Linked DNA regions of Tamandua tetradactyla. The protein of the gene in region 2 interacts with the protein of the main gene of each other region in a biochemical or structural test. Links are inferred from orthologs where the notes say so. Each region holds a gene or a part of one and is shown on either strand. Other genes may lie near its edges.

Region 1 (10,002 bases), on a different chromosome or scaffold from region 2:
ACTTGACTTTTTGTCCTGGAAGCGTGCTTGTATCAGCCTAGAGCCTTGGCCACCCTGCAGGAACCTGGGAAAGTTGGACATCTGAGTTCCAGAGTGAGGAATGCAGGGAGGGTCTCAGCGAACATTTTGGGAAGGGCTGGTGGTGGGGAGAGGGGCTAAGGAGGAGAGGACAGAGTGGGGAGGAAAGCAGAGGCATCTCCACCCAGGCAGCAGCTGCTCCCAAATATGTCACAACTTGTCAAAGAGGCAGAAATAGAAGCTGTAATGGGAGTGGAAGGGGGTGGGGTGGCATGCTGGAGCTTTTGAACCCACAGGGAGTGGCTAGAAGGAAAGGGAAGCAAAAGAGGCAGGGGACTGAACCCAGAGGTGAGGAAGGCAAAAGGCAGTTCTAAGGAGGTAGAGATGGGTCCAGAGAATATCTGACTGCCTTCCAGGGAGATTGAGTATGGAAGCAGAAGAGGAGATGGGAAAGGGACAAAATATCCCAAGGAAACTTGTCCCCTTGATTCTATTAGTCATTCTTTAGGTCTGTGCCTGGCTCAACAACCCTCACGACTATCCTCTACCCTGACTCATGGGCATTTCCTCCAGACCTACACAGAGTCAAAAAAGAATTTTGCCTCTCAAATGGGCCATTTGGATCATTCAGTCCAGCATTGTGATTTACAGATGGAGAAATTGAGGCCCAGAGAGGAGAAATGACTGGCCCAAGGTTCCACAGCAACATGCCCTGCCTCCTGGTTCCTACAGCCACTTTTCCTTAACTTCCCAAGAGTAGCTGCCTTAACCAGAAGCTGCTCAAAGGAATGTGGAATGGTCCTAAGGAATCCTCACTGGCATTTCCCAAGTCCCCACTAGATCCAGGCCCCCAAGTCATACTGTGGCAACAAGCTCGCTGGAGCCCTAATCTGTTATTTCTAAAACTAGCTCTCTGTTTTGTCTTCACTGGCCACCTCCCTGTGACCCCTTATCCCCACTGACCCATCCTCTTCCGCCTCCAGGCTGGCTCCTTCCACCCCAAGGCCAGAGATTCCTGATGAATGAGCCGGATTCTGAGCTCCAGATTCCTGGAAGGGATGGGATTTCCCAGTGGTTATCTGATGCTTGGTCTTCAATGGAAACAATGTGTGGCCTCTGGAGGACTGGGGCCCTTCCCTCTGCTGCACCTCTCAGCCCTGGTTTCCATCTGCCTCTAAGCCAAACCTCTCCTCCTGTCTCAAAGACCTCAGGCTTCCCTGGGCCTCTCCAGCCAACTCTGTCATACCTGTCTTGTGTCTTCTTTGCATCTCTTCATCACTATTTCACCCAGCTGTCTCCCTGAGCTCTCCATTTTAGCCTAGAGTATGTCCAATCCATTTGCTGCCTGTCTACCTGTGGCCCACAGGCCCACCTGGAAAGTATGTACTCACACGTAGCCACCTTCTTCACTCCACCGCCTCAGAGAGGGAGAGGAAACACTGGATTCAACCCTCACGCCTAACCGCAGACAGTCCAAGAGCTGACACCCTTCACATATTTGACACTAGCTCTCTGCACCCGTGGGTAAGTCACTTCCCTTCCCCAGGCCTCAGTTTCACCCAGAAGAAGGTGAACTAGCTGATCCTTAAGCAGCTTTCCAGCTGTGGCATCCTACGATGGTGCGACCAGTTTTCACTCTCCTACAAAGCTACTGTCCCACACGCACACACACAAAATGAGTATTGATTTGCATGCCATGGTTCATGTATCTAGATCCTGTTGAAATGCACAAGCATTCCTGCCACTTAACCCCCACTTAATTCTCATCAGTAATACGGAGAACCAGCCTAGGAAACAAGAAGTGGAGCCTGTTTGGAAAAGCCAGAGGTTCCCATCCTTCCAGACACTTCTCATCTCCCTCCTCTATTTCTAACCACATGAGACCCTGGGATGGGAAACTTGCTTTGATTTCAGCCAAGCAACCTGGCAGCCCAGTTCAGCCCACCTGCCAGTCAGCAGGAGCTGGAAGATGCTGGAGGTCGGAGAGCTGGGACTGGGTGTGCAGCCGAGGGGGAAAGAAGAAGCAGGGAGCAGGTGAGGGGGATTTCTGAGCACTGTGAAACCTAACCGCTACCATGCAAAAGAGATCAGCCCAGCATGCAAATAGAATCAAGTTGAGACAGTCAGGGTAGGGGAGCAAAGAGCCCGAACCTGAAGCCCAGCTTCAGGATTATGGGCAGAGACTTCTTCTGGAGGCCTGCTGGAAAAGGAGGCTCCGGGGGCGGGGGTGGAGCCTGTGTGTCCGAGCAGCAGGGGTGGGGATTAGGGCTGGATGCCCTGCTGTCAGGTTCGGGCTGATGGATCTCCGCTGGTGGCAGAGCACAAAGGCTGTTTTGTGCTTGGCACCAATGTGTTCCCATCCATCAGAGGGCAGCCTGTGTGGGATGGTGGGATGTGCAGGAGGAGGAAGGCTAGGCTTCTAGAAGCTTCCCCACAGCTCATCTCTGAAAGAGGAAAATGGTTGTCAATCCCTCCCATTAGGTTTGGAGAGGTCAGAGATACCTGGGTGCCCTGTATTCCCAAACCCAGGTGCTTCTGTTTCCCATACCTGGGCCCTGAAATAGTCCCCAAGACACGCTACTCAGACAACACGAACACATCTACAGACAGGCATTCGTCGAAACCCAGACACATGAGGTCACCTTAACCTCCCAGCCTGCATTACATGTGGGCAGAGGCAAACATAGACACAAGGCCAGCCTGTCACCATGGTGACCCAAACACCCAACTCAAGGTGCTCAACATATCTCCTTGGAAGGGAGGGGAGGGGAGGGAGGAATGAATCCATATCCAGGCTGGCGTCAGGTATTCCATTCCTGCTGTTCTTATATCCTGGAGGCAAAGGAGGACAGGCAGGAAAACAGCCGGAGGGGGAGGACCACGAGGCTTGGGGGTGCATCATGAGTGAAGGAGAGGACAAAGCAAAGAAAGGGACTAATATTTCTTGGGTGTCCCCATGTGCCAGGTGCCACTTCATTTAATACTCACAAACAACCATTCCTCTAGGAGACACACATGCACCATCCTTTTTGCCAGCCTGACACATGCGTCCTCCTGGGGTCCAAGAATCCATCCTCCTGCCTCTGAGAAGGCTGTTGAGACCTTCATCTCCTCACACCTGGATTCCTGTCATAGTCTTCTTGTGGGCTCTTGCCTCAGCATTCCAATCCCTCCATGCTGGTCAGGCCTCCACCCATCTTGGTGGGCTTGTCACCAATCACCCACTTACGTGAACCCTGAGCACCACCCAAACCAGTCTACCCAATGTCCCTTCACCCTCCTCCTCTCTTCCCATCCCAATCCTGCCTGTCCTCCAACACATGGTCCGACAGTTTCCTCCTCAGCTCTTCCAGAAAGACCCCAGCCTTCGGTGGATTCGTCTGTCTACAAACTCCCGAAATACTCTTTCGATGAACCCACTTATTTACAACTGATCGTCACTCTCATGTTTACTGCTGAATTAAGATAGCTCTTTCTTATACTGTAACTTAGCTTTCACACTGGTGTCCGTGCTCACCCACTAGATGGTAAAATACAGGAAATCATCACAGAACAAGCCCATTTCTCCTGCTTCCATTTTTATAGAGAGTGGACACATTGTTTAGAGATAAGTTAGATCAGATCCCAAAAGGACAAAAAGATGCAATATCTGAGTTTCCAGGGTAGCTCTGACACCATTCCTTTTCTCAGGGCTCACAGGATTAGAGTGGAAACTGAGGCAAGGTGTTTTTGTCTTTTTTTAATTTCTTATTTTTGCATGGGGTTGTTTTGGGAGTAGACATTCTTCCTTCTTCAGCCCAGCTGATTGGGGTCAGAGCAGGTTTAGTACTCCTTGCCTCCATGCCAACCCTTTTTATGATGCTGGTAAAGCTAAGAACCAAATTAGGACCTCACTACTCCCCCTCACATATACTTTGTTTTCCTTCTGTGTCCCCCATCCCATCTCTGTCTCCTACCCCAAAAGGACACCCACATTTTCCTGGCCCTCATCACGGATAACAGGAGGGAGGAAGGAAAGCCAGTTGTTTTGAGCCCCGTTCAGATCTCCCTTTCCCTGTGACGTCTTCCCCGCACCCCTGCCAGCGTTCCTCTCCCACTTACTGTCTGTCTTATCCATCACAGGCAGGAGGCAACACACTTAGTCTGTGGGGTCCTAGAGAGAAGAACTGGGACCAAAGGGAAAGAGATCCAGGGGACAAATTTTAGTTCAAAACCCAGGACTCGCTGGATTGGAGCTGCACACCTCTGGGTCAGGCTGCCTTGTGAGGTCAGCAGAAGCTGAAGAGGGATTCGGGCGTCAGGGCTTGGGTAGAACGAGGGGGCCGTGATGGTCTGCTAGATGGTAAGGTCTCTGAGGGTGGGGAGCTGCCTTGGGTTTTCCTGTAATCCCTCAGTGCTGAGACTGAGCCTCACTCATGGCCAGTCTCGGAGGCCTGCCCACTGTATCGGGAGGAATTGTCCTTTCAGACTCCGAGGCCTCTACTGAGAGTGACCACAGACTGAGAAGTCCAAAGATGCAGCAGCCCCTCCCCCCACCTGACATCTGAGAACCTGTGCGTGATACCTGTGAACAGAGGGCAGGGGCAGGAAGGAAGAGGCAGAACAACCCAGCCGGGTGGTCAAGGGGAGCAGAGAATTAACCTGGCTCTGAAGGTCCCTGCTTTCTCTCTTCTTCACACCCATCTCCAGTAAGGAGTCAGGAAAAGTCCGGCATCCTGATGGGGCAGGAAATAGAGTTGGCCAGGCAACACAGGATAGATAAATGGTCCCAAGTGAGGGAGAGAGGACACTTAAAGTTGAATAGATCTTGACCTTACCACTGCGAAGTAGGTGGCAACGTGTAAGCTGTAAACTCTAATCCCTGCTCTGACCCTGACCAGCTGTATTAAAAGGAAAGCTTCCCTGACCCCTGCCAAAACACCCAAACAACAACACAAAGAATCCGCTTGCGTCAGTTTACTCCCAATCACATGAGACCTAAGAAAACAAATGATGTCAAGGCTACTTGGAAACCCAGAAACTGAATCCATTTGTTCCTCTGAATTTCAATCCTTCTTATTCTTGGACAGTGAATATCCACACATACCCCAAATTTGAAGCAGTCTGGTTCTTTGAGGAAGAAGTTTCTAAGAGCCTCACTGACTGACACGGTCTGCCTACGGTGCTGTCAGGAAGCAGGGGAATGGATAAATTGACTTCCTAAATCCCCCTCCAGTCTGAACCCACATCTTCCTTGCCCCCACCCCAAAACCCCGCCCTCATCTTTGGGACCAGCAAGGACAGGGCAGGCAGGCCGCCCGGCTCCAGTAATTGAAAGGAGCAGATGAGAGGAGAATGTGTGTCCTCCCCCACCTCTCCTGCCCCATGGGGGCTGCCGAGAAATGAAAACTAATCAAATTACACCCGACGGCCTCCCTGCCCGTGCACAGGAGCCGGCCTGGGCCAGGGGCAGGCTGGCCACGTGGGGTGGGGGCCGTTGGGGGAGAGGGAAGGGGAATCACATCTAATCCACTGTAAACGTCTTGATGTGCAGCAACAGCTTAGAGGGGGGCTCAGGTTTCTGTGGCGTTGGCTATATTTATCTCTGGTTCCATGCCAGCAGGGAGGGTTTAAATGGCACCCAGCAGTTGGCGTGAGGGGCTGCAGGAGCTTGGGGGCTGGTGGCAGGAACAAGTCTTTTCCGACCCCATGGAGCTATATGAGACATCCCCATACTTCTACCAGGAGCCCCGCTTCTATGACGGGGAAAACTACCTGCCGGTCCACCTCCAGGGCTTCGAGACACCAGGCTACGAGCGGACTGAGCTCGGCCTGAGCCCCGAGGCCCAAGGGCCCCTAGAAGACAAGGGGCTAGGGACCCCGGAGCACTGCCCAGGCCAGTGCCTGCCATGGGCGTGCAAGGTGTGTAAGAGGAAGTCGGTGTCGGTGGACCGGCGGCGAGCGGCCACGCTGAGGGAGAAACGCAGGCTCAAGAAGGTGAACGAGGCCTTCGAGGCCCTGAAGAGGAGCACCTTGCTCAACCCCAACCAGCGGCTGCCCAAGGTGGAAATCCTGCGCAGCGCCATCCAGTACATCGAGCGCCTGCAGGCCCTGCTCAGCTCCCTCAACCAGGAAGAGCGCGACCTCCGCTACCGAGGCGGGGGTGGGCCCCAGCCAGGGGTAAGTGGCCACCCCGCCCACCGGTCCTGGGGGAACAGGGTCAGACGGAGGCCCCGGGCAGCCTCCAGACAGCGTGGGGTGGGGATGGCGGTTGGTGCAGGTGCCAGGCCCAGGCCTTCGGGCGGGGGCAGGGCGGGGAGAGGCGCTGCAGGACCCCTTCTTTTGTCAGAGCTGGTCTGTCCAGCTGACCTTCTGTGTCCTCATGTACTTGTCAGACAAGTTAAAGGCAGTGGGGAGAAGGTACCGATGTGAGGGGTGGGGCACAGGCTGTCGGAGGGCTCCAGAAACAGGTCCACAGCCACCCTGCGTGGGGGTGAGGGCTAATCCGAGTGCCTAGACGCAGGACCTAGAAGGCAAGGCCAAGGTACACCAGAGAAGACTGCTTTGTCCCCCACCCCAGCCCTACCCTGCGAGTGGCTGAGCAGACAGAAAACCTACTCAGTCTCAGGCTTGTGCAGAAATGGCCTCGGTTGGGCCAAACACACTGTCTTTATGCTGAGAGGAATGAACATCAGGGACCCCTTTAAGCTAAGTGACCTCTGAGGGGGAAATCACCACCCAGGATCAAGGCCACGGAAGGTCTGGAAGCAGGAGCTGGGTAGGAGAGGGTGAAAGGAGCTGGTGGTGAAGACTCTGGCGTGGAGGTGTGGCCTGGGCTGGAGGACCATGGCCCTTAGCCCATCCTCCAGCTCCACCACAGGCACTTCTACCCATTTGGGATTGGGCAGAGGAAGCCCTCTAAGAATGGCCGTGCCCTGACCTTGGGCCTTTACCCTATCTTGCAGGTGTCCAGTGAATGCAGCTCCCACAGCGCCTCCTGCAGTCCAGAGTGGGGCAGCGCACTGGAGTTTGGCCCCACCCCTGGGGGTAAGTCGGCCTGGGTCCTGGTAGCCTTGGCTCAACTCCCTCGGCCCCTCCCTAGGCCCAGTTCTCCCCTCTTACCAGATTTCCTGCTCCAGCCCTCTTCCCTTGGCCTCTCCAAGGACTTGCAGAACCCAGTGCCCCAAAAGATGGGCTAAAAAGGAGTGGTCTAGGCCTCCTATAGTTTCCCAGCTAGTGCCTGGTGACTGACCTTCTCTGCAGAGAGGAGACTGTCCCTGCCTCAGGGGTCCCTGGGAATTGCTGAGTCAGTGCTGCATAGCTGGGCCCAGCAAAGGGCAGCTCCAGTCTCCAATGATACACCATCTGGGCTCCACCTCAGAACTGCTGTTTCCAAATCCTAACCCTACTAGGGGAGCTCAGGGAGCAGACAAACACACTCACAGCAATTGGGAAAGGCATGGCCTGGGAAGGAGAGCTCCCGAGTTCTGCTCACACATCTGTCCTGGAGAAACGTGACACGCCCAAAGGGGCCCATCCTCCACTCTAGGCTCAAGACCCCCTTGAACCCCTGTGTCACACCCTCCCCACCTTCTTGCAGACCACCTCCTTGCTGCTGACCCCGCGGACACCCACAGTCTGCACTCACTCACCTCCATCGCCGACAGCATCACAGTGGAGGATGTCTCCGTGGCCTTCCCAGATGAAACCATGCCCAATTGAGATTGTCTGCCAGGCCAGGCTTGGGAGCCCCCCAAGCTGGTCACAGTTGCCTCCACTTCTACAGCAGGGACCTCTACTAAGCCAGGCTGTTCTGAAGCCAGGAAGCCAGCCTGGGACTGCCACATGCCAGGCTCTCCTCCTCCTCCTTTATACAAGGTTAACTCACCAGCCAGCGGGGACCTGAATTCCCTCACTTAGCTGACTCCTTAGAGCAGAGGGCATCCGTTTCCAGGGAGATAAAGCAGGGGACCAGAGCGCCCCCTCACGTATGCCCCCTAGGGCAAGGGGCAAACTCAGGAGCTTCCCTCTTATCATAATGCAGACTCCAACTCCCATTCCCCCAAAGAAGTATTTTAAGACACAAAGATAGTGTCCTGGCCTGGACGGGCTGTGCACATCTCCTGTTTTTGTCTCTTCCTGATGCCAGTGGCTGGGCTGGGCCTGCCCTGAACCGAGGGAGAAGAGGAGGCACAGCCTCTGTCCAAGGGTCCAAGCTTTTGCAGTGAATATTGGGAACCTTCCAGTGGTTTTATGTTTTGTTTTGTTTTGTTTCGTGTGTTGTTTGTAAAGCTGCCATCTGACCAAGGTCTCCTGTGCTCAAGTGGCCAGGGACAGGCAGGGAAGGGAGGGAGGGTGGTTTTGGGGGGTGATTTCTTTTGTTAACTAAACATTGTGTGGTTTTGCCATTGTTTTGTACCTTTTTTTTTTTTTTTTGCTAACTTATTTGGATTTCCTTTTTTAAAAAATGAATAAAGACTGGTTGCTAGAAGAGTGTCAATGATGCAGAGGGAGGGGGATGACTGGGCACGCCTGCCCCCTTCCTACTTGGTGACCCAGACACACCGTAAGGGCAGGGCTTCCAAGGGTTGGAGTGACAGAAGCACTGGAGAGATGCCAACACTCTAGAAGCTCTGGAGGCACCACCCTGCTGATGGGCACTGGGGGCTGAGGACCCCTCCTCTTTCTACCATTGTAAAGGAAGCTGGGTCTGGTCCAGAGGCTGGGGGGAAGACTGGACTTCACAGAGTTCCTCGCGGGACACTCTGCTGAGCAGTTGGATGCACTTAAAGTCATAGACATTGTTCCCAGTCTACTGCCTGCCAGTGTACAGCCCAATAGGTCTATTCGGTTTCAATCAGTTGAGCATGCTCATATGCCCAGTGCTCAGCCCACAGCCAGGTGGCAGCGCTGGAGAGTTGAAATTTGTGGATTTCACCTCCCTAATCCTGCCTCTCCTCTGGTGCTACACGACATCCTGTAGCCAGGCATGGTTAAATTAGGAGTATGGATGTCAGATACTAGACACGCCATAGCAGACTGACTAGCTGGCCCCTTTACACTTCTCCATCCCCGCCAGGATGAAGGAGATTCTGGTCCCCGCCAACCATTCAGAGAATGAAGGCAACCAGGGGAAGGGGCAGGGGCTCGAAAGGTCAAAGGAAAAGAAGTTGGGATGGGGGAGGTCTCTTCATTGGAGGTGCTGTTTTTTTCTGTTTGTCTTTTTCAAACACTGGCTTTCTGAAGGAATAAGTTATGTGGGGGATAGAGATCAAAGATTTTGGATACATTAGGATTAACTACAGAGCTAGGTGCTACAACTTCAAGGGATCATGAACTTCTACAAACACTACTAATTCCAAAAGCTTCTGGCTAAGTTTGTCAGATTTATTGCAAATGACGAGTTTCAGAAACATGACAGAAGTCTTGGGATTCAGAGCACGACACAGCATAGTCCCATTCGATTCCTTAGGGCCCTCTGACAACTGCTTTAACAACTGACATACCCCAGATTTATCCGTCAGCCTCCAGTGACCATTCTGCTCTTGTTCTGGGCTCTGCTGGCCGCTTCCCCCTCCTCCGCCCTCCTGACCTTGATTTTGAAGAGTGATGTCAATACCCGGGACCCAGAGTCTCCCCAGAAACTACCTAAGAAAGAGTAAGAAGCAAGCCTCAGAGCAGCCTCACAGAACCCGGGTCAGGGTGCAGAAGGGAGGGTCTCCCCCAGGACCCACTTACCCCAAACAACAAGTCGGAGCTGGGCGTTTTGGGGACTCTGAACCCCCTCCACCCCCCCAGCCCCAAATCACCAACTAGCCTCATCAGCCCTCATTTGTGGGACTTTCTTCTTCTTAAGTCGCTTCCATGATGCTTAACTTTCTCTGACTCGCTGACCTTGGGGATGGGGGAGGGCAGCAGCCTGGCCCCAAGGCTTTGGCTCTAGAATCTACATTCACTCCCTTATTAACCAACCAAATATGGAAATAGACATTCAAAAGGGATCTT
Region 2 (10,325 bases):
TGCCCAGGTTGACCAGCTGGGTGACCCTGGGATATCCCTTTCTCTCTCTGTGCCTCAGTTTTCCTCTTCCATAAACACGAGGAGGCTGGGCAGGATGGTCTCTTCAAAAGGGTCCTTCCCACTCTGATTTGCCAGACTTCTGACATGAGGATTGAGAGTTTTTCAGGGACTTGGGGTTGGAGAGAGATCTTGGGGGTGTGGCAATGAAGTATTTTATGCCAAACACTAAAGATTCAAACAACCAAAGAACCTCATTCATCCAACACAGTGTCCTGGGAATAAATGAAGTCCACTGCTAACAAGGGTTGAAAATTATTACAGATGATATGCCACTAAGGCGGGGGAAGCCTTGGGTACTGCCTCACCCCTTAGGGAGCCTTTGTTCTGAGAAGGGGAAGGAGGAAGCCGCAAGAGCGGAGAACTGCGACGAGTGACTAGGGGCTCAAAGACAGGGGTTTGGGGGTGGGACAGTACGGGATGTTTGCTAAGCAACTGGGCTTGAAGCCCTGATTGGCGGAGGCGTTGCTAAGGCAAACAGTGCCGCTTCCTTTGATTGGCCAGTTAGTTAAGGACACCCGGAAGGTGGAGCTTCCCAAGATGAGCAAGGGAGGAAGCCCTGCCCCCTCTCCTTACCAGGAAAAGGAAGGGGGGAGGCGTGTAACTAAGGCCCGCATCCCTGGCAGTGGGCGAATATACTCCCTTTACATACCCAGGCCCGGACATCCTAAGAAGGTAGGCGGCTGGCTAGTATAGTAGTCTCCAGCACAGCCAGCTAGCCGGCCTGCCGACAGAGCTGGGTTCCCAGGACCCTGGGACCTGGGAGGGCTCCCTTCTTACTCTCTAGTGGCCCAGGGCTGCAGGGCAGGGCTAAGCTACTTCCCCGCCCCCGGCAGGGAGACAGCTGGCGGGAGGAATGCAAGGGCCCTGCCAGGCAGGCGGGCTCCGGGCGGGAGGCCGGCGTGGAGCCGGAGCCGGCCTTATATGGGCACGGAGGCCACCCGCTTATCTAGGCGGCCAGCCTCCTGTCAGGATAGCAAGGATGGACACCTGTCCCTCAGAATGAGGGTCACTAACCAGGCTCTACTCCACAGCTGTGGGCACCTATGCACCTGTCCTGGGCAAGGTTGGGAGAGGGACACCCTCCCCTCTTTCCCCTCTCTGTGCCACAAGTCCCTTCCCATCCCTCCCTCCTTGGATAGGGACCCCAAACACACCTTGGTCTCCCCACTGCTGTCAGACTCCGACACCTGGTAGGTGAGGTCTGTCTCTTCAAAGCCTGTGGCACTCATTCTCTGGTCTGTTGTGGGGTCGGAGCGGGGTGGAGAGTCTGGCGAGTTGAGGCAGGTCTGAATCAGCGCCTTGCCCGTCTCACTGGTGATCATGGGCTGCAGTTTGCGGGTGGCAAAGGTATACACATGGCCTGTCTCACTGGCCACCAGCAACAGCACCTGTGTCCCTGTCAGCGTAGACAGCTCATAGGCCTAGGGGGGAGATGGGCAGGTCAGCAAAATTTTTCATCTCTAACTTCCTTGAGAAGTAGGAAAGAGAGGAAGACCACAGTGACCTCGAGCCCCCTACCATAATGACCTTCCACTCCTCTAACTCTAGGGGGTCCTATGTGGATATCAGAAGATGACATCCTCTGAGGAACAGAACCATCAACTTGTAGATATCCTAAGGAAATAGCTATGGCCCCCTGATGATGGGGGACCTCTGTAGACATGAAGGGGCCCAATTAACTGCTTCTCACTAAAGCTTAGTGCCCTAAGCCTTATAGAGAGACGGTTCCCATGCCCTCCTCACTGTCACGGACTAGGATGGTATCCCCACCACAATGGAAATCACACAAGCCATTAGGCATAAGGGCCACCTAAGCTCCCCGAGTTTCTTCCCAGAAACTACCCAGGTGTAACCTGTTGACATGGCCTCACTTGTTCTGCTCTATAATACTGCGCTACCCTTTTTCCTTGCTTAGTCTTAGAGAGGAAGTATAAGTATGTAAGGAAAAGACAGTCTTGCGTCTGAGCTTTCCTTCGTGGGCATCCCCCTCCCTAACCTTCTCTACTGATGATCAAGTGACAAGAGACACTGATACAGCAGTGTCTGGAGTGATGGAAGACAGTGGGAAGACCCCACTATGAACCCAGGCAGGGGAGCCTTCAAGTGTGGCCCCATAGATGCAATCCTCACTCCCAACAAAATTCCATACCTCCCCCCACCATGGGAGCAGCTCAGGTGTTTTCTGTATAGGAAAAATATAAACACTCGCCAATGTCCAAGGTTCTAGTTTCTAATCTCCCAGTTTTTCTGGTTCCATCCCTTCCCTTGTCTTCTACACCCCAAGATGAGTCCTCTCCTCACCCCTTTCACTGGTTGAATTTCTAGGTACTTCTGTAAATTCCCCCAAACTCCATGCACAGATTCTCCCTAGGGCTGGAAACCCCACTTGTCCCAAAGGTAAGCAGTTCCACAGCCTGTCCCACCAGGAGCATGCCAGCTTTCAGTGATGGCAATGGAAGACACATGGCCATTGCTTGGCTTGGTCTCTGCTGCTCAAGACAGCATCAGTTTTCTTGCCCTGCCCCCTTACCTGGGGCTCTTGAGCCCCACTGGGTCCCAGCGATGCCTGTCCCTCCAGTCAACACTACTTCAGTGGTGCCCACCTTCCTCCCACATAGATTTGCTCATTTCTATTACTGCTTCCCTCCCAGCTCCAGTTTCCAAACCTCTCCACCTTTTCTTCTGCTCCCCGGCTTCGCTCGTGCTCACTCCCACTTCCCTGCCTTACCAACGCCCACTCCCAGCACCAGCGTTCACTGGACCTACAGACCTGGCTGCTCAGTATCCACCTCCCCGGCAGGCTCGCAGCCTCTCAGTACCGCTTCCTCACCCCTTCACTCCACGAGGGCCCTCTTCCTCTCTCGCGCCGGTCACTCCCACCTCGGCGCCTTTCCCTTCTTTCCCGGACGTTCGCCGCATCTCCCCTCTCCCCACATTTCCCTGGCGGCCCCTCCCCTTTCACCCACCCGGGGTAAGAACATCCCCTCCCACACACCTCTGCGGACTCGCCGCCTCTCACCTCGGCTTGGCTCTGCCTTCCTCCCCGGCTTCCCCTGCTCATCCCCACCTCTCCCGGGTCCCCGGTGGCCGGCCAGCTTCCCCGCCCGGTACCTTCTTCATGATGCCCGTCTTCCTCTTGCTGAAGGTCGTGTAACGCCGCAGCTTGTTGTCGATGAACTCCATCTTGATCTTCACGCGGCCCCGGGTCTTCTTACCCGGCTTGGCCCCGCTCACCGCGCCGGTCACCGGCCCGTAACCCCCGGTGGCCGCCGCCGACGCCTCGGGCCCGCCGACCACCACGCCGAGCTCCATCTCGCTCAGGCTCCGCTTCAGGCCGCGCCGCTCGGCGCACAGCTCCTCCTCCTCGCCCGACTCCGAGTCGCCCTCGCTGCCGCTGTAGAGGGCCCCCGCGGTGGGCGCCGGGGTGCTTGCCGCCGCTGCTGCAGCCTCCCGCTCGAGGCGGCCGGGCCCGAGCCCCGCGCCGTTCCCAGGGACCCGGCCCCCGTTAGCCCCACGAGTTCCGCCGCCGCCGCCTCCACCGCCCGGCCGCCCCGTCGGGGTCCGGTTCAGACTGCCCCCCAGGGCCGAGCCCCGTCCCAGCGCCGCCGCGGCCCCAGCTTGGCTCGGTAACATGGCGTTCAATGCAGGAGGGCGGACAGGCAGTCAGCAAGGAATCGGAGCCGCCGCTGCCGCCGCCGCCGCCGCCGCCATCGGCTTCCCGGCTCAACCTGGTGCTCGCGCTCCTGCTAGTGCGGCTTTCGCTGCCGGCGCCGCTGCGAACCCGGGGCCCCTGCACGCCCGGGCCGACCTGGGCCCTCACTTTCCTGCTCCTGTGGCCCGGGTTGCCCCAGGCCGCGCGCAGCGCCCCCTGTCCGTATGCTCGGGCGGCGCGCCCGGCGGCCGTCGGCGTCCCCCGGGGGGCAGGGGCTGCTGGCCGCGGCGGAGACCGCGGGTGGAGGGGGCCGGGACCACGCGCTGGCGGCGGAGGGATCCCCCGACCCTTCCCCCCATATAAAGAGATACAATGTTTCCTTTTATGGCGAGGCCGCTCCTTATATGGTGAGCCCCAGCGCCCCCGCCCCATTGGTCCGCGGTTCCGGCACCTCCGCTCTCCATTGGCCCGCAGGGGGCGCTTATTTGCATAGACATACCAAACTCGCGGCTGTCATCCCGCGTCAGAAGGCGATCCCGAAAGGGGTGGAGCCGACGCCTCTTAAAGGAACAGGAGAGGAGGTACGACTCCGCCCCCCTGAACCGGAGAACAGTAGAGAGAATTGGGAGGGACTGGCCGAGAGGAAACACGGGAGAGGACTGAGCTGAGCAGTCTTGTGGAGAAGGAGCAGCTCTGGGAACCCGGCACCTGGAAAGCTAGAAGCAAATACTTGAAGGAGTCCCTGAGTCAATTGTGGGTTAGTGCAATAAACGGGAAAATACAGCCCAGAAACCATGGAAGAAGTACAGGGATCGGAACGCTTCCCCACTCTTTCCTAAAGGAGGCAAGTCACTGGCCGAGCGAAGGGGGCTTAGGTCTCTGGTGTCCAGACTCCCGCGCCTCCGCCGCTGAGCTCAACCCCTTTCCCCTCCCCCCGACTTCCCTTTCCTCTGTTTTCAAGGCAACGACACTTTCCCACCAGGCAGGCTCCCCAGACCTCATTCATCATCCTCTACACTGGGGGGTCTTTGGCAGACGTTCATCTGGAAGAAGCCGGAGGAGATAGTCTGCCTTCCCGTGCCTGATGGGGACAATGAGGAGAGACGGACATCAGTAAAGACTCCCAGCTGCAGGCTGGGTTGGGGGGAGGGGGTGGTTCCCAGGATAAAGCCCATCCAACAGCCAGTGCAAAGGCCTGAGAGAGAGTGTAGCTGGGCAAAAAGTTTAAGCCCGCGCGCGCACACGCACACGCACACACCCTTCTCTGAAAAGCCATGAAAGTCCGTAGAAGGGGGAGGGGGAAGGCTTAGAACTGTGGTGCTGCAAAGCCAAGGTTTAGGGTAAGAATCCCTGGGTCTGGATCTTAGTTAGCTTCAAGGTAGGGAAAATAGGTTGGGCTCCGCTGTAATAGAAATTATTCAGATCTGGAATGGGCCCATTCCTAGTCCTGCGCCTGGAAACAAGTGATTTGACCTCTCCAAAATCCGTATTCCTCAGTGATGCTACCCATCCCATGAGGTGCCTATGCAGATTTAAGAACAAAACTATTACTTACTTGAGTCAGCAGTCAGGGAATACTAAACAGGAGCTGCCTGGGGTAACTTATCCCTGGAATAAACATTGGTGTGTTTAAGGGGATGGGAGAGTGTGATGATAACTGCTTTAAAAGTTGTGGGAAAATAAATAAATAAATAAAAAGGGGAAATAAAAAAAGTTGTGAAGATAAAAAAATTAGTCAATTTTCAAACTTTTCACTGCCGTTAGTAGTGAAATAAATTTAAGGCACTGCAAACAGCCTTTAAAAGAGTAAAAATTAACAGGCAGGCATCACAAAAAACAAGGGTAACGTCATTGCATAAAACTTCTAAGTTACAATAAACAAAAGACAAAAAAAGAATTAAAAAAACTTCTGAGCTGTAATATACATTGAATATATGCAATTGCCATTTTATAAGTAAAATTGTCATTATCATATGGTTCAATGAATATGTGTATTGGATGGCAATGTCAACTGCATTTCTTACTATAAATCACAATCCAAGGACTAAGACTTACTACAATAAAGTATGTTCAAGTGACTTGTAAGATAAAATGCATCATATATTATTAACATGGGCTTATTTATAACTGGAATTAAGGAACCCTTCTCCTCTGAGCATTTCCCAAATGCTTAAAGTTTTAAAGATATATATATATATTTTTTTTTTTCCTAATCTACTCTACACAACAGGTAGTTAAACATATGGAAAGTGTTAGCTCAAGAGGAAGAACAGGTCAAATAGATAAATAGGTTCCAGAAGGGTTTCTTGGGGGGAGGGGCATAAATGGTTCTTGGGGATGTGTTTTGTTTGAGCAGCATTCCTGCCTAGGCTCTAAAGACTTTTGGTTTGAGACCCCTTGTTTAGACACATGGACAGTTGACACCCACTAGGATAAATAGAGGCTGTTTGGGGGTACTGCCTTCAGCATAGGCACCCTAGAGGGCAACTGCTCTCCATCACCTCCACGCGGGAGGGCGTCCTGGGTGAGCAAGTTCTCAGCTTCCCTTCAAACAGACTGCCCTTTCTCTTGATTTCACCCAGCGTTCATGCCACTGCCTATTCATCTGACTTGGAGTCTTGGTTGGGATTCCTTCATGTTCACAACCTGTTTCACAACAGGAGACCTACACCCACATTGCATTGGATCACTGCAGTTTCCAAGGCTGAAACTGGTGATGGGGATAAAGTGAAAAAAAAAACTGCTCACAGAATGTGTTTTGTTTGGACCATATAATTATAATGAAAAATCAGATTTTACTTAGAAAGCTGAATGTCCAGCCTCTCTAAAAAATTTGTAATTCTTGGCAACTCTATGGATAGGTGCCATAGGAACACTCAGACTTGGAGTAATTGGCTGCAGTAGAAGAGGCCTCTGCTCTCTGGTTCACCACTGAGCCCGCATATCTCAGAAGGCTCAAGTAAGATCCCTGCTTGGCCTCTCTAGAATGTCAACTCAGGAGTTCTCTGATAAGGCCTAAATCAAAGTAAAATTTCCGTCTAGCCCCCTGGAATTGAAGGAAGTTCACATCTACCCCAAATCATGAAAGACCTTCAGCTGAGCACTAGAATTCCAGCCTGCTCCTATGACAAGAAATTTTCCCCTCACACCATACCATTCCTATCCCAGCCTTTATTTCCTTTTCCTGATTTTTATCACCCAAATAATATCAGTACAAAAAATAAAGACTGCTTTTAAAAATTACTGTTGCAACACCCTAAAACTGTTTTTATTTGGAATTAACCCTTACCCAGGTTTTTTTTTAACTAACTTCATTTTTAATTGTGGTAAAATATATATAAAACATAAAAATCATCTTAGCTATTATAAGAGGACAGTTCTTTGACATTTAAGTATACTGACAAGCCTGTGTAACTTTTACCACTATCTATTTCCACACTCTTTTCATCATCCCAACCAAAGCTCGTTCTTCTCATTTAGCAATAACTTCCCATTTCTCCCTCCCCCCACCCCTGGTAACAATTTTCTGCTTTCTGTCTCTACGAATTTCCTTATTCTAAGTATTTCTTATAAGAGAAATCATACAATATTTGTCCTTTTGTGTCTGGTTATTTCACTCACTATGATGTGTTCATCATGTTGTAGTGTGTATTAGAATTTCATTCCTTTTTTGGTTGAATAATATTCCACTGTGTGTATGTACCACATTTTATTTATCTATTCATTTTGTTGGTGGACATTCAGGTTGCTTCTACCTTTTGGCTATTGTGAATAATACTTCTATGAACATTGGTATATGTATATATCTGAGTCCCTGCTTGTAATTCTGGGTATGCATCTTGGAATGGAGTTCCTAGTCATATAGTAATCCTATGTTTAACTTCCTTAGGAGCTGCCAAACTGTTTTCTGCAGTATCTGCACCATCTTACGTACCCACAAACAATGTGTGAGGGCTCCTGTTTCTTTGCATTCTTACCAATACTTGCTTTTTTCAGATTTTTAGTAATAGACAGCTTAGTGGGTATTAGGTGGTATCTCATTGTAGTTCTGATTTTCGTTTCTTTAATGGCTAATGATGTTGAGCATCTTTTCATTTACTTATTGGCTAGCCATTTGAATATCTCCTTTGGAGAAATGTCTATTCAAATCCATTTTCTTAAATTGTCTTTTTGTTGTAGGAGATCTTTATATGTTCTGTATATTAAACCCTTATCAGATATATAGTTTACAAATATTTTCTCCCATTTTGTAGGTTGTCTTTTCACTATCTTAATAATGTCCTTAATGTTTTTAATTTTGATGAAGTCCATTTTGTCTATTTTTTTCTTTTGCTGCTTGTACTTTTGTTGTAAAACCTGAGATTCTATAAAAGCTTCACGTACTAAGATTACTTTCCAGAAACCTACAACCTCCAGAGGGGTTCCTAGACCAGATGAGTCCTGAAACCAGAGATGCCAACCTCTCCAAGAACATCTACTAGTCCTATCCCCCATCCCATATTATCAACACCCCTTTCCAATATGAAAAGTTAGAAAGGGTAGAGTCCAAATATCCTAAAAATTGGGAGAAGGATCAAAGGAGAAGGAGGAGTTATAACAGAGAAGATAGGATTTAACAAATGAGAATGCCTGCTGAATCATTTTATTAATATTTCTTTTAGTCTCCAGTGTCTTGGAGCAGCTAGAAGGAAAAACTTAAAATTGTGGAAGGGCAACCCATACCATATTTTGAAATCTGTTCTATAAGTTACCATGTATTTTGAATTTTATTGCTTTTTGTATAAATGTTATATTTCATAATAAAAACTGTTTAAAAATAAAAATAAACCCTTATCAGACATATAGTTTACAGATATTTTCTCCCATTTTGCAGATTGTCTTTTCACTATCTTGATAATGTCCTTAATGTTTTTAATTTTGATGAAGTCCATTTTGTCTATTTTTTTCTTTTGTTCCTTGTGCTTTTGGTGTAAAATCTAAAAATCCATTAACTACTACAAGGTCCTGAAGGTCTTTCATTTTATTGTAACAGTTTTATTATATTAGCTCTTATATTTAGTTCATTTTGGATTAATTTTTGTATATGATGAGAGGTAGATGTCCACACTCATTCTTTTGCATATAGATTTCCAGTTGTCCCAACACCATTTGTGAAATAACCAAGGGTTCTTAATGGAGGGCAATAGTATTATTTGACCACCTAAACTGATTTCAGTTCAGTTCATTAAACATGGCCTATGTGGGGCCCCATGATGCACTTGGCGCTGTGCTGAGTGCCAGAGTCACAGTGATGAACTTGGATTAACTTCTTGCTCCCCGGCCTTCCCACACTACTCCCCACCCCCAAGTCAGTCCACCTGGGACACATGAAAGGTTTCCCCTACAGAATCTGCTAGCTTTGCACCCCAAGCCATCATCAGTTTTCTTAGAGATCCTTCTCACTGATCCATGCTGAGGGAGACAGCATACTAGAAGGATGTGGCTAGATCAAATCCAACCCCACTGCTTAAAACAAAAACCAAAAAAAAAAACTAAAAAGAAAAAATCTTAAGACCCAAGTCAGTTGGTGTGCTGGTATGTACCCAGAAAAGCCATGTCCTTTTTCCTGATCCAGTCTTGTGGGGACAGGCATTTTTCTTTTATCCTGATTCAATATTGTGGGGAGGAAACTCTGGATTGTTTCCATGGAGATGTGACACACCTAGTTGTGAATGTGGCCTTTTGATTAAATGGAGATATAACTCCACCCATTCAAGGTGGGTCTTGATTAGCTTACTGGAGTCCTTTAAAAGAGGAAATATTCTGGAGAAAGCTTAGAGGCAACAGAGATACAGACACCTGGAGATGTGAAGAGTGCCAACAGAGAAAGCAAATACCTAGAACTGGACATTTAGAGATGCAGAGCCCAGTTAGATGTCACCGTGTACCTTTCCATGAGATACTAAGCAAGACAGAACCCAGAGTTGTGTCCTGGAGGAGCTAAGTGAAGGCTCACAGATGCTTAGAGAGGAAACTACTGGCATCAGAAGCTGGAAGCAACACAACTGAGAACAAGGACCAGCAGATGCCAGCCATGTGCCTTCCCATGTGACAGACATCAGCCTTTCTTGAGTGAAGGTCTGTCTCTGGATGCTTTAGTTTGGACATTTTTATGGCCTTAGAAATGTAAACTTGTAAGTTAATAAGTTCTCTTTTTAAAGGCCATTCCATAAAGTTGGAAAATTACAGTTGGTAACAGAGACCATCAGAAGATAGAAAAAGGGTAAGATATTGGGTAATTGGAGCTGAAGGGATACAGATTTTGCAACGGCACTGATTGTAAAAATTCAGAAATGGATAGCAAAATACTACCTAACTGTAATGCGTTATGTTAGAACACTGAATGAAGCTGAATGTGAGAATGATAGAGGGAGGAGGGCTAGGGGCATAAATGAAATCAGAAAGAAAGACAGAAAATAAAGATTGAGATGGTATAATCTAGGAATGCCTAGAGTGTATAATGATAGTGACTAAATGAACAAATTTAAAAAGTGTTTTTGTATGAGGAAGAACAAAGGAATGTCATTACTGCAGGGTGCTAAAAATAGATGGTAATTAATATTTTAAAATTTCA
Region 3 (10,826 bases), on a different chromosome or scaffold from region 2:
TCGTGAGAAGTGGATGAATTCTGGATAACATCTGAAGAAAGGGCCAGCAAGATTTGTTGACAGATAAGAGAAAGAGAAATCAAGGGTGACTCTATGTTTTTGGCCTGATCACCTGGAAGGATGGAGCTGTGATCAACTGAGATGGGGAACACTATGGGAGAGCAGGTTGTAAGGGGGAGATCGGGAGGCCAGTTTTGGAGATGGCCAGTTTCAGAGGCCTGTTAGACATTTATGTATATGCTATGAAGAATATTAGTTTTAAAAATAGCAACCAGACACATAGCCCTTTCTATGCATTACCTATCATTTGAATTCTTTTCTTCATTTAATCTTCAAACCAACACTATAGGGTGGGTATCATCAGTATTCTCTCCATTTTTAAGGTGAGAACATGGAAGCACAGAGAAGATAAGTAACTTGCCCAAGGTCACAGAGCTGGAAGACAGCAGAGCTGGGATTCAAACCCAGGAGGTTTGGCTTCAATTAGTGATCCTAACCACCTTACAACACTAGCTCTCTCTGAAGAAAATAACAGAAGGGTAAGATCCCAGAGAGTAATGGGGTTGCCTTCCCTGAACAGGTGACAGTGAACAGTGACCCGAAGGGGAGGAAGTAGCAAGCCATGTTGTCTGTGGGAAAGGTGCTTCAGGAAGGTGCAACAGCATGTACAAAGGCTCTGAGGTGGGCACAAGCTTCACATGCTATATCATGGCTACCCTTAACTATTCACAGTTCCCCTAATGCACCAGGAGACTTCTCACATCTGAGGATACACATGTGCTGTTCTCCCTGCCAGGGGTGTCCTTTTTCTGTCCTGTACCTGAAGAACCCTTTATTACACAATCATCAAGTTCTGTTTCCTCTCTAGACAGAATTCATTCTTCCTCTGCATGATCCAATGTGCCGAATAACCCATCTGCCCTTGCAAAACTACTTCTTTCTCTCTGGATCTTCAACATCATACTCCTTGGTCCTGTTCTAGCTGTGTGACCTTGAACAAATTACTCAACCTCTCTGTGTTTCCTGAGCTGTAAAATGGGGGTCTTTTTCTCTCAAAAAGTAAAATATGCTCAAAAACACAACTACCCTCAAAGGTTTTTGTGAGGATTAAATGTGTCAAGGATTTAGATATTTAATTCCTTGTGAGGATTTAGAAAGCACACATAAACGACTTGAAAAAGTATCTATGGCACATGGTAGATACTCAACAAATGTTAGCTATTAGCTAGTATGTCAATCTTCTCCCTCCCCAAACAGCTCCCCCTTCCCCCGCCCACACCATCTGGCTTCTGTCACCAATGTGACATCACCTCCTACCCTTATCCCCTTCGCTCATTCCACTCCATCTGTCCTGGCCTCCTTGATGCTCCTTGAACATGCCACGCACTAGCCAGGGACTTTGCACTGGCTGTTCGCTCTTTTGTACAGTATTCCCCTAGACATTTTGGTTCTCTCTGTCACCTCCTGATCCAGGCCTTAATTCAAAAGTCACCTTCCAAATGAGGCTGCCCTGGCCACCCTAAGATTTCTTTTCTTTTTAATGTTTTTTAAAAATCGCAAATATAACATATTTACAAAGCAAAGAAAGAAAAAAGCAATAATTTTCAAAGCACTCTTCTACAAGTAGTTACAGAACAGATCCCAGAGTTTGTCATGGGCTACCATTCCATTATCTCAGATTTTTCCTTCTAGCTGCTCCACCTTAACATTTCAAACACCCCAATACTCAATGTCTACCTTCCTTTCTTCTCTTCATACTTCTCTAAAATACCATCTAATTTTATTTACAGTTTTATTTATATAGGCTGTCTCCCTCAATAAATGGCTGCTGCACAAGGGCAGAGATATCTGTCTGTTTTGTTCCCTCCCAAATTCTCAGCACCTAGAAGAGCATCTGGTACTCAGTAAATGTTTGTTGAATGAACAGATCCAGCTAACTAGCCTCTTAACTAGCTCTCATGTCCCCTCTTCATCTCCATCTGTCTCCCACCCTGATTTGTCTGAAATTATTTTTCCATTCATTCCCATAATAAATTCTTATTGAGCACCTACTACATGCCATGTACATTTTTAGGTGCTGGAGACACAGCAGTGAATAAGCAGACAAAAACTATAAACCCCATGGGACTCCCATTCTAATGGGGAGAGACAGACAGAAAGGATAGTGAACTGGTAAATTATGCAATGTGTCAAGAGTGTGACAAAAGGCAGAGACAAATACAGCAGGGAAGAGGCCTGAGTACTGCTGGGTGTGTGGGTCCAGGGATCTCTTTTAAACAAGATGGTGGGAGGACCTCATTGAGAGGCTGACATTTTAACAGAGCTGTAAAGACAACCATGCAGATATCTGGGGGTAGAGTGTTCTTGGAAGAAAGAAAAGTCAGTGCAAAGGCCCCAAGGCTTGGTGTATTGGAGAATCATGAGGAGGCCAGTGTGACTGGGGCAGAGTTAGTGAGGGGGTGGAGGTCTAGGAGGTGAGGTCAGAGAGGTAACTTATTTTATTGTTACTAACTCAGGTATTCTTTATAAATACTGGGCAGGGGTGGGGTGATGGGGTTCTCACCCTATTCTCCCCATCTTGGAAGAGAGAAAACAGGCACAGAGAGAAGACAGTTAATTTACTAATCTAAGGTCACAGTTGCTGTAGGACTGGGGATGGGTGGGTGCTGGGACAAGGTGTGGAATGGAGACATCTCTGCAGGCAGAGGGAATTGCAAGAATAAAAGCTTGGAGATAAGAACTAATTTGATTTTAACGGAGTGGGGCTTATGCGGGGTTTGATGAAGTGACAGAGGGGAGCCTCAAATATTATCCTGTGCCCTAAGGGGCAACCTAACCTGGTTCTTTCTGAGATTACCTTTGAGTAAGGTATCTAACCTCCCCATGCCTCAGTTTTCCATCCGTGAAATGGGGAAAATGATAATACCTATCTCATAGGGTTGTGGTGAGGATTAAATGAGTTCATTAATATAAAACACTGAAAAAGCATGCCTTACATACTAGGTGCTTGATAAATTTTAGCTCCTACTAGCATTATTATCATTATCACTAATGTATTCATTTATTTTAGTAAGGAAGAATGTCTTGGTGGTTAAGAGTGTGAGGGGGTGTGTTCCAGAGTAAAAAAGACCTAGGTTCAACAATCACACAGACTTATCCACTATTATTGAAGGGGGGGGGGGGCAGGGCATGGACTGAGGCACCACAAGGAAAGGAGGGGGAATATAAAAGCATTGGATTCATAGATGGGCAAGTGGGGGTAGGGACGTGAATGTAAGCACACAGGTAGCAGGAAGGCCATTGGACAGATCCACTACAAAGAGGGGATGGGGAGTAAGGCCATGAACTCACCTACTGGCAAATAGGGCAGCAGAAAAGCTCACTAACTGATACACTACAGTGGAGGGGAAGAAAAGCCATCACACAGACTGATAAAAGGAGATAAGCACAAGGCTATGGCCTGCGCTCCTGGAAGTGGGGAGATACAAAGCACTAGACTGATTCAGAATTAAAAGGATAGGAGAAACCCACGAATTGACAGTGTACAGAAAAGGGAGGAGAGACAGGGCAACGGACTGATGACTAGGGGGATGTAACTGATCCACTATAAAATGGGGTGGGTGGGGGGAGAGGGAGGACGGCAGATAAAGTCATGGACCGCTGCACTTGGGGACTGGAGGAGAAAGGAATATAAACTGACAGACTATTCAAGAGGGGTGAGGGTACAACGCCACGGATTAATTCACTACAAGGAAGAGGAGGGGTAGAACAAACAAGGCCACAGACGGGTCCCTTGAAAGTTGCGGACAGAAAAATACAAGCACCCAGACTCACCTATATATAAAAGGGGTCCGACAGTGCCACAGACTGATCCCTAATAAGTGGGGATGGGGGCTAGAACATGGACGGGTCCACTGTAAGTTGGGATGGGGAAAAATTCAAGCACGCAGGCTGATCCATTACAAAACGGGAGCGGGGGATAGACCACACTCAGATATACTACAAGGGGCGAAGGGAGGGGACAATGCCACGGGCAGTTCCACCAGCGGTGGCGGTACTGTGGGGAGTCGAATACCAGTAGGCGATGGGCCAAGCCACATCGCCCCACGCGGGGGCGGGAAGGATACAAGGGGTCACGGACGCGGGCCCCCACCCTCCAGGCCCAGGGCTCACCTGTGCAGAGCGGTGCAGCGGCGTGGGCAGTGTTGGCAGCTCCGGGGGGCGGGGGCTCCATGCGCGGCCCCACCGCCCCCCAGGCTCGGCTCTGAGGCGGCGGCGGCGGTTGCGGCGGCGGCGGCACCCACAAGCCGCCCTTGCGTTTCCCTACCGCTCACGTGGGCCCATGGGGGCGGAGACAAGCGTCCTGCCACTCGCTGGTTGGCCCAAGCAGCACAGATCAAACGTGCGATTTCGGGAGGTGGGAGTGAGGGGCGGGCCCCACAGCCTCAGAGCTGTGCCTTGATTGGCCCAAGCGGAACTGTTGGAACGCGGATGGCCGCCCGAGGGTCGGGGCGGGGGAGCGAACCCAGCCCCACAGATGCCCTGTGCTGATTGGCTCAAGGACTGATAGACAGTGGGCGGCTGACAAGGGTCTGGGGGCTTCTGCCTGCACGGATTGGCCTAAATAGGATTGATGGAAGAGATAGCCAGCCTCGGAGAAGAGGGTGGGCCCTACCCTTTGCTGATTGGCGGAAAAGTGTCTCCTAGACAGCTGCCAAAACATCAAGGGGGCAGTGCCGCACTCCACGCTGCTCAGCGGAAGCCGGACTTCTATAGAAGTGGGAGTAGCAGTGGACCTGGCGGCCAGCGTAACTCTGAGGACTGGCTAGAAAATACTAATTTAGATTGGAGCGGAAGTAGGAGGGCGGTACGGCTGCTAGACACGAGAAGCGCTGAGTGGAGGAAATCAAATGCCTACGAAGAGGGCAGGGTCGAGCCGCGGCCAGAATTACAAAGGGGAGGAACCTGGCTCTACTCTGATTGGCGGAAGCTGGACTCATCTTAGCTTAGAGGCCCGCGCAGGGCTGGGGAAGGGCGGGACCCAACTCTGCACCTATTGGCAGAAGCTTGAACCATTAAGAAGTAGGGGTGAGGCCGAGGTTGGGCCGAGAGGAACTAGGGCATAATTAGGGTATTTGCGGAACGACTACGGCGCAGGGCAGGGGTAAGCCTTAGCGCCAGGAGTGAAAGGGTGACTGTGTTGGTACCAAATCTTCACCCTGAACTGGCTCATTCTCTGTGGAAACTCAAAGGGTGGTTTCCAGGAAAAGGAATGGAATAAAAGGAATGGAAGGAAGGGTGAGGTGGGGGGTCCAGGTTGTCAAGACTACAGAAGAGAGGGCAGAGTATAAAGGCCAGTGGTAAACGCTGCCAGGCAACCGGGCAGAGAATTGAGGCAAGTGGTAAAGGTTGCCAGGCAACAGGCTGGAGGCGGGACTTCTGGGATGCTTTATACCTTCCATATGGAGATTGGAGCTCCGAGCCTCCTAGTAACAGTGTGCTCTAGAAACGGCACCTTGGCAACCAGTAGGGGTTAAGGAGAAAAAGAAGGGCCATGGAACTCAAAGGCATTCAGGCTCTTTAATGTCGGAGAAGGAGGGCAGGAAGTCAGTAATGAGGCATCTCTGGGAAATTCTGCAGGCCTTGTAGCTCTCTAAGCCCCTAAAAAAGAGGACAGAAGAGTTTGAACAGACACTGGGTCCAGGCCCCACCCCAGGGTTGCTGTGACCTCTCTACCCTTGGAGTCAGCCAAGCTTCAGCTTGGCTCCAGCTCAGGTGAAAAGATGGTTCTTCCCTTCTCAGGTTCTCTCCCTTCCTCAGGTCATCACCCTAAACACATTTGGAGATAGAGTCTGTGAGCTGCTCTCACCTCTAGCAACATGTGGATATGGGCCTTGATATTCATGGAGTCCCTGGTGAGGCTGTCGCTGAGCCTGGAGAAGGGAAACAAGAAAGGGCGAAGTGGGCCCCACATGAGATTATGAGGATGACTCTTCTTCACTTTAAGAACTACCTATAACCTGGATAACTTTCACAGGTCACCAGGCCTGGCAGCCACCTGGACTTCACTGATTCAAAAGACATTTACTGAGTGCCTGCTGTATGTCAGGCAGTTCTAGGCATTGGGGGTCAACAGTGAACACAACAAAAATCCTGGCCTTGTGGAACTCACATTCTTATTATGAGACACAGATAGATAAATGATGGAATAAAATATACAGTATACATATGGATTAAAAATAAATAAATAATGGGGGAACAAATGTTAAAATAAATTTAGCAGATTGAAACGCTAGTGATCAATGAAAGGGAGGGGTAAGAGGTATGGTATATATGAATTTCTTTCTGTTTTCTTTTTCTTTTTCTGAATTGATGCAAATGTTTTAAGAAATGATCATGATGATGGATATACAACTATGTGATGATATTGTGAATTACTGATTATATATATAGAATGGAATGATCATATGTTAAGAATGTGTTTGTATGTTGGTACATTTAATAAATAAAATAAATGAAAAAATATATACAGTATGTCAAATGGATATAAGTGCAATTAAAAGATTTAAACAATGGCTCTCCTGCCGTGCTAGAGACCTGGGTTCTATTCCTGGAGCCTGCCCATGCCAAAAAAATAAACAAACAAACAATGAGGAAGGTTAAGGAGTGCAGGAGTAGGGTCTACAATTTAAAATAGAATGCCCAGAAATGGATTCACTGAGAAGCATCTGAGCAAAGACTTAAAGGAAGGGGAGAAGTTAATTACGTGGCTACCTGGAGGATGAGTGTTCTAAACAGAAGGGATAGCAAAGGGTGCTGAGGTGTACCTGGTATGTCTGAGTCACAGCAAAGAGGCCAGCATGGCTGGAAAAGAATAAGCAAAGGGGGACTGTAGTAAGAGGTGAGGTCAAAGAGGTTAAGGATGGGAGGCAGGTTGTATAAAACCTACAAGGCCATAGTAGAGACTCTAGCTTTTTTTTTTTTTTTTTACATGGGCAGGCATCAGGAATGGAACCTGGGTCCTCTGGCATGGCAGGCGAGCATTCTTGCCTGCTGAGCCACCGTGGCTGGCCCGAGACTCCAGCTTTTATTGTGAGATAGGAGCCATAGAAAAGTTTTGAGCAGAGGAAGGCTGTGAACTGACTTGGGTTTTAAGAGAATCCATCTGGCTGCTGTGAGAAGGATTAATTGGGGGTAAGGGGAGAAAATGTGGAAGCATGAAGTCCAGTGATGAGGCTGTTGCAAAAGTCCAGGTGAGAGATGATGGAGGCTCAGACCACAGTGGTAGCAGTTGAGGTGATTAGAAATTATTGGATTTAGGATATATTTTGAAAAAGGGTTGGATATCAGATGTGAGAGGACTCAAGGAGGATGCCAAGGCCAAGCAACTGGGAATCTGGTGTTGTCATAGACTGACAAGGGGAAGACGGCATACAAGTTAGTGGGGAGGAAAGGAAGATCATAAAATTTCCTTTGTACATATTAAATTTGAGATACCTCTCAAAGACCTTAAACTGATGACTAAAGGTAACATTATCCTGAAAAACTGTTCTTCTAAAAGAAATGTATTCAACAGCCTGATTTCCAATGCCACTCATGGTGGCAGCCAGTTCAAAAGCACTACCCAGGCAACTCGTTTTGGCAACTTCTAGATCCTTCCGCTCTTCCACTTCCACCTTAATCTCCAAGTCCTCCTACTAGCATTTCCGTCTTCAGTTTAGAGTCCACTGCCTATCATATTATCACAATCGCGGCAATACCTTTAGTTTTCTTTCCTCTCTGACCTGTGACCATCCCCTAACACTGCACGACCCAAACTATTCACCAACTGTGTGCCAGGAACAGGGTTAGCAGGTTGCTCTTTAAAAAACTGACAGAGACACTATCTAATATAACTTGTACGGTTAGCTTATTTGAACACCATAATTATATGGAACCATGAATAGGGAGTGAGATCTTGTTGGTTTGTACAGGTTGGTGTGATGCCCCGATAACCCCAGAGTAAGTTGGGCAAAAGATTAAAAAGTATTGGCACACTCCTCTTGAGGGACTGGGGAAAAGGTGGAAATATTAAACTTCTCCACCAGGGGAAGACCTGATATTCTCGCAAATATTGGGGACTGCCAATTTGATGGGACAAGTCCTTGATCTTGGGGCTTGCTCTTATGAAACTTTTTCCTGCAAAGGAGAAGCTAAGCTTACTTATGATTTTGTCTAAGAGTCACCCTCAGAGAATCACTTTTGTTGCTCAGATGTGGCATCTCTCTAAACCAACTTTGCAGGTAAACTCACTGCCCTCCCTGCTATGTAAGACTCCCAAGGGTGTAAATCTCCTGGCAACATGGGACATGACTCCTGAACATAAGCCTGGCCCAGGAATCATGAGAGTAAGAAAGCTTTCTCGACTAAAAGGGGGAAGAGGAATGAAACAAAATAAAGTTTCAATGGCTGAGAGATTTCAAATAGAGTTGAGAGGTCTTTCTGAAGGTTATTCTTATGTAGTATATAGATACCCCATTTCAGTTTTTGGTGTATTGGAGTAGCTAGAAGGAAATACCTGAAACTGTTGAACTGTAATCCAATAGCCTTGATTCCTGAAGATGACTGAATAACTATAGAGCTTTTAAGGTGTGAACGTGTGAGTGTGAAAACCATGTGACTGACACTCCCTTCATCCAGTGTATGGACAGGTGAGTAAGAAAAAAAAAAAGACATGGGAGGTATGGGATGTTTTGGGTATAGTTTTTTTTTTCTTTTTTTGCATAGGCAGGCCCCAGGAATCAAACCCAGGTCTCCAGCATGGCAGGCAAGAACTCTGCCTGTTAAGCTATCGTGGCCTGCCCTGGGTATACTTTTTTACTTTTATTTTTATTGTTTTTGGAGTTAATAAAAATGTTCAAAAATCTATTGTAATGATGAATGCACAGCTTTATGATGATACTGTGAACCACTGATTGTACACTTTAGATGATTATATCTCAGTAAAAAATCATTGAAGAAAAAAGAATCAACAGATCTTCCTAGTTAAAAAAGTGACAGAGAGCTGCAGCTGGGTATCATTTCATAGGATTTCTAAAAGTATGGATCAAGAATCATTAAATAGAATCATCCAGGACCTTGTTAAAATGTACTCCTAACTCTCAGAGATCCAAAAGTTTGTAAATCATGCATCCTAAATTCACCAACCTCCATGGGGCCCTCAGTGCTGCCACTTACTCCTTTCTCTGGCCAACTTGTCTGCCATGACTATTTCAGAGCCTTTTTTTTTAGATCACTGAAACACACTGAGCTCCTAGTGTATAAGGCATAGTTGATGAGAAAGAAAATTGCATGTGGATATATGGGGAGTGAACAAAACAAAGGAAACAATAGCTCTTTTAAGAGTCTATTGTCCCCTGGGGGAGAGAGAAATAAGGCAACTAAACAAATGCTATAAGTGCTATGATGAACAAGCATTGTGTTCTCTGAGAGAAAAACAGCAGAGGTCTAATAAATATTGTGGTAGGAGAAAAGGGTAGAAAGTGGGTCCTGATCAAATCATTTGAGCCTCGGATCAAGTAGTGCCTGGAATTGCTCTGATCCTGGACTACTGAGTTACATAAACCAGTAAATTCCTTATGTTTAAGCTAGTTTGGATAACGACTTACCCAAAATAATTCTAATTGATAGAAAGGGTGAAAGAAGGTCTTTCTGAAAATGAAGAATGAGTAAGAACTGAGAATGAGTAAGAGTTAAACAGTGGGAGGGACTTTTCCACAAAAAGGCCAAGAGGCAGGAAAGAGTTTTTTTGAGAAACAGGCAGGAGGCCAGAGTGTTAGGGATTAAGTGAATGGTAGAAGGAAAGTGGTACATTCAAGATAAGGTCTAGGAGGGAGGGAAGGGCAGGATCATGCAGGTTTCAACAAATGATTGTCAAACATACAGAGAAACAGGAAGCAATGGCTTAGGCAAAGGAGAAGATTAAAGCATTAGAAACCATCAGTGAAGAGGATCAGACCTAGGACATTCTAGACAAAGACTTAAAAATAATGGTCCTACCTTCCTGGCAATGTGAGACAGAAATCCTAGAATGAGCTGAGACTCAGCATCAAGGGATTGAGAAAAACCCTAGAATGAGCTGAGATTCAGCATCAAGGGATTGAGAAAACCTTCTCGACCAAAAGGGGGAAGAGTGAAATGAGACAAAGTGTCAATGGCTGAGAGATTCCAAACATTGTCGAGAGGTTATCCTGGAGTTTATTCTTACACATTAAGTAGATATCACCTTGTTATTCAAGACGTAATGGAGAGGCTGGAGGGAACTGCCTGAAAATGTAGAGCTATGTTCCAGTAGCCATGTTTCTTGAGAATGATTGAATAATGACAGAGCTTTCACAATGTGACTGTGTGATTGTGAAAACCTTGTGTCTGATGCTCCTTTTATCTACCTTGTCAACAGACGAGTAGAACATATGGAATAAAAATAAATAATAGGGGGAACAAATGTTAAAATAAATTTAGTTTGAAATGCTAGTGATAAATGAAAGTGAGGGGTAAGGGGTATGGCATGTATAAATTTTTTTTCTGTTTTTGTTTTATTTCTTTTTCTGAATAGATGCAAATGTTTCAAGAAATGATCATCATGATGAATATGCAACTATGTGATGATATTATGAATTACTGATTATATATGTAGAACGGAATGATCAAAATAGGAATGTTTGCATTTGGTGTTTTTTGGTATTTAAAAAATAAAATTAAAAAATTAAAAAAAAATAATGGTCCTAAATATGCGCAAAGAACTAAAGGAAAATATGGACAAAAAAAATAAAGGAAATCAGGGTGCA

Evidence for each region.
Region 1: the proteins of SRF (region 2) and MYOG form a complex in vitro, tested with the Homo sapiens proteins (2 studies listed by BioGRID and IntAct). The link is inferred for Tamandua tetradactyla from reciprocal best matches to the Homo sapiens genes SRF and MYOG.
Region 3: the proteins of SRF (region 2) and ELK1 form a complex in vitro, tested with the Homo sapiens proteins (2 studies listed by BioGRID). The link is inferred for Tamandua tetradactyla from reciprocal best matches to the Homo sapiens genes SRF and ELK1.

Annotation. Positions count from the first base shown.
Region 1 is NC_135330.1:60,392,467-60,402,468, reverse strand, and holds MYOG (myogenin), read left to right. Parts: upstream 1-5,668; 5' UTR 5,669-5,706; coding exon 5,707-6,177; intron 6,178-6,962; coding exon 6,963-7,044; intron 7,045-7,597; coding exon 7,598-7,719; 3' UTR 7,720-8,333; downstream 8,334-10,002. UniProt on the Homo sapiens protein: Acts as a transcriptional activator that promotes transcription of muscle-specific target genes and plays a role in muscle differentiation, cell cycle exit and muscle atrophy.
Region 2 is NC_135331.1:100,741,462-100,751,786, reverse strand, and holds the start of SRF (serum response factor), read right to left. Parts: upstream 3,932-10,325; 5' UTR 3,694-3,931; coding exon 3,172-3,693; intron 1,482-3,171; coding exon 1,215-1,481; intron 1-1,214. UniProt on the Homo sapiens protein: SRF is a transcription factor that binds to the serum response element (SRE), a short sequence of dyad symmetry located 300 bp to the 5' of the site of transcription initiation of some genes (such as FOS).
Region 3 is NC_135353.1:122,477,325-122,488,150, reverse strand, and holds the start of ELK1 (ETS domain-containing protein Elk-1), read right to left. Parts: upstream 4,387-10,826; 5' UTR 4,174-4,386; intron 1-4,173. Other genes in the region: protein UXT, read right to left, coding at 5,608-5,661, 5,870-5,933. UniProt on the Homo sapiens protein: Transcription factor that binds to purine-rich DNA sequences. Forms a ternary complex with SRF and the ETS and SRF motifs of the serum response element (SRE) on the promoter region of immediate early genes such as FOS and IER2.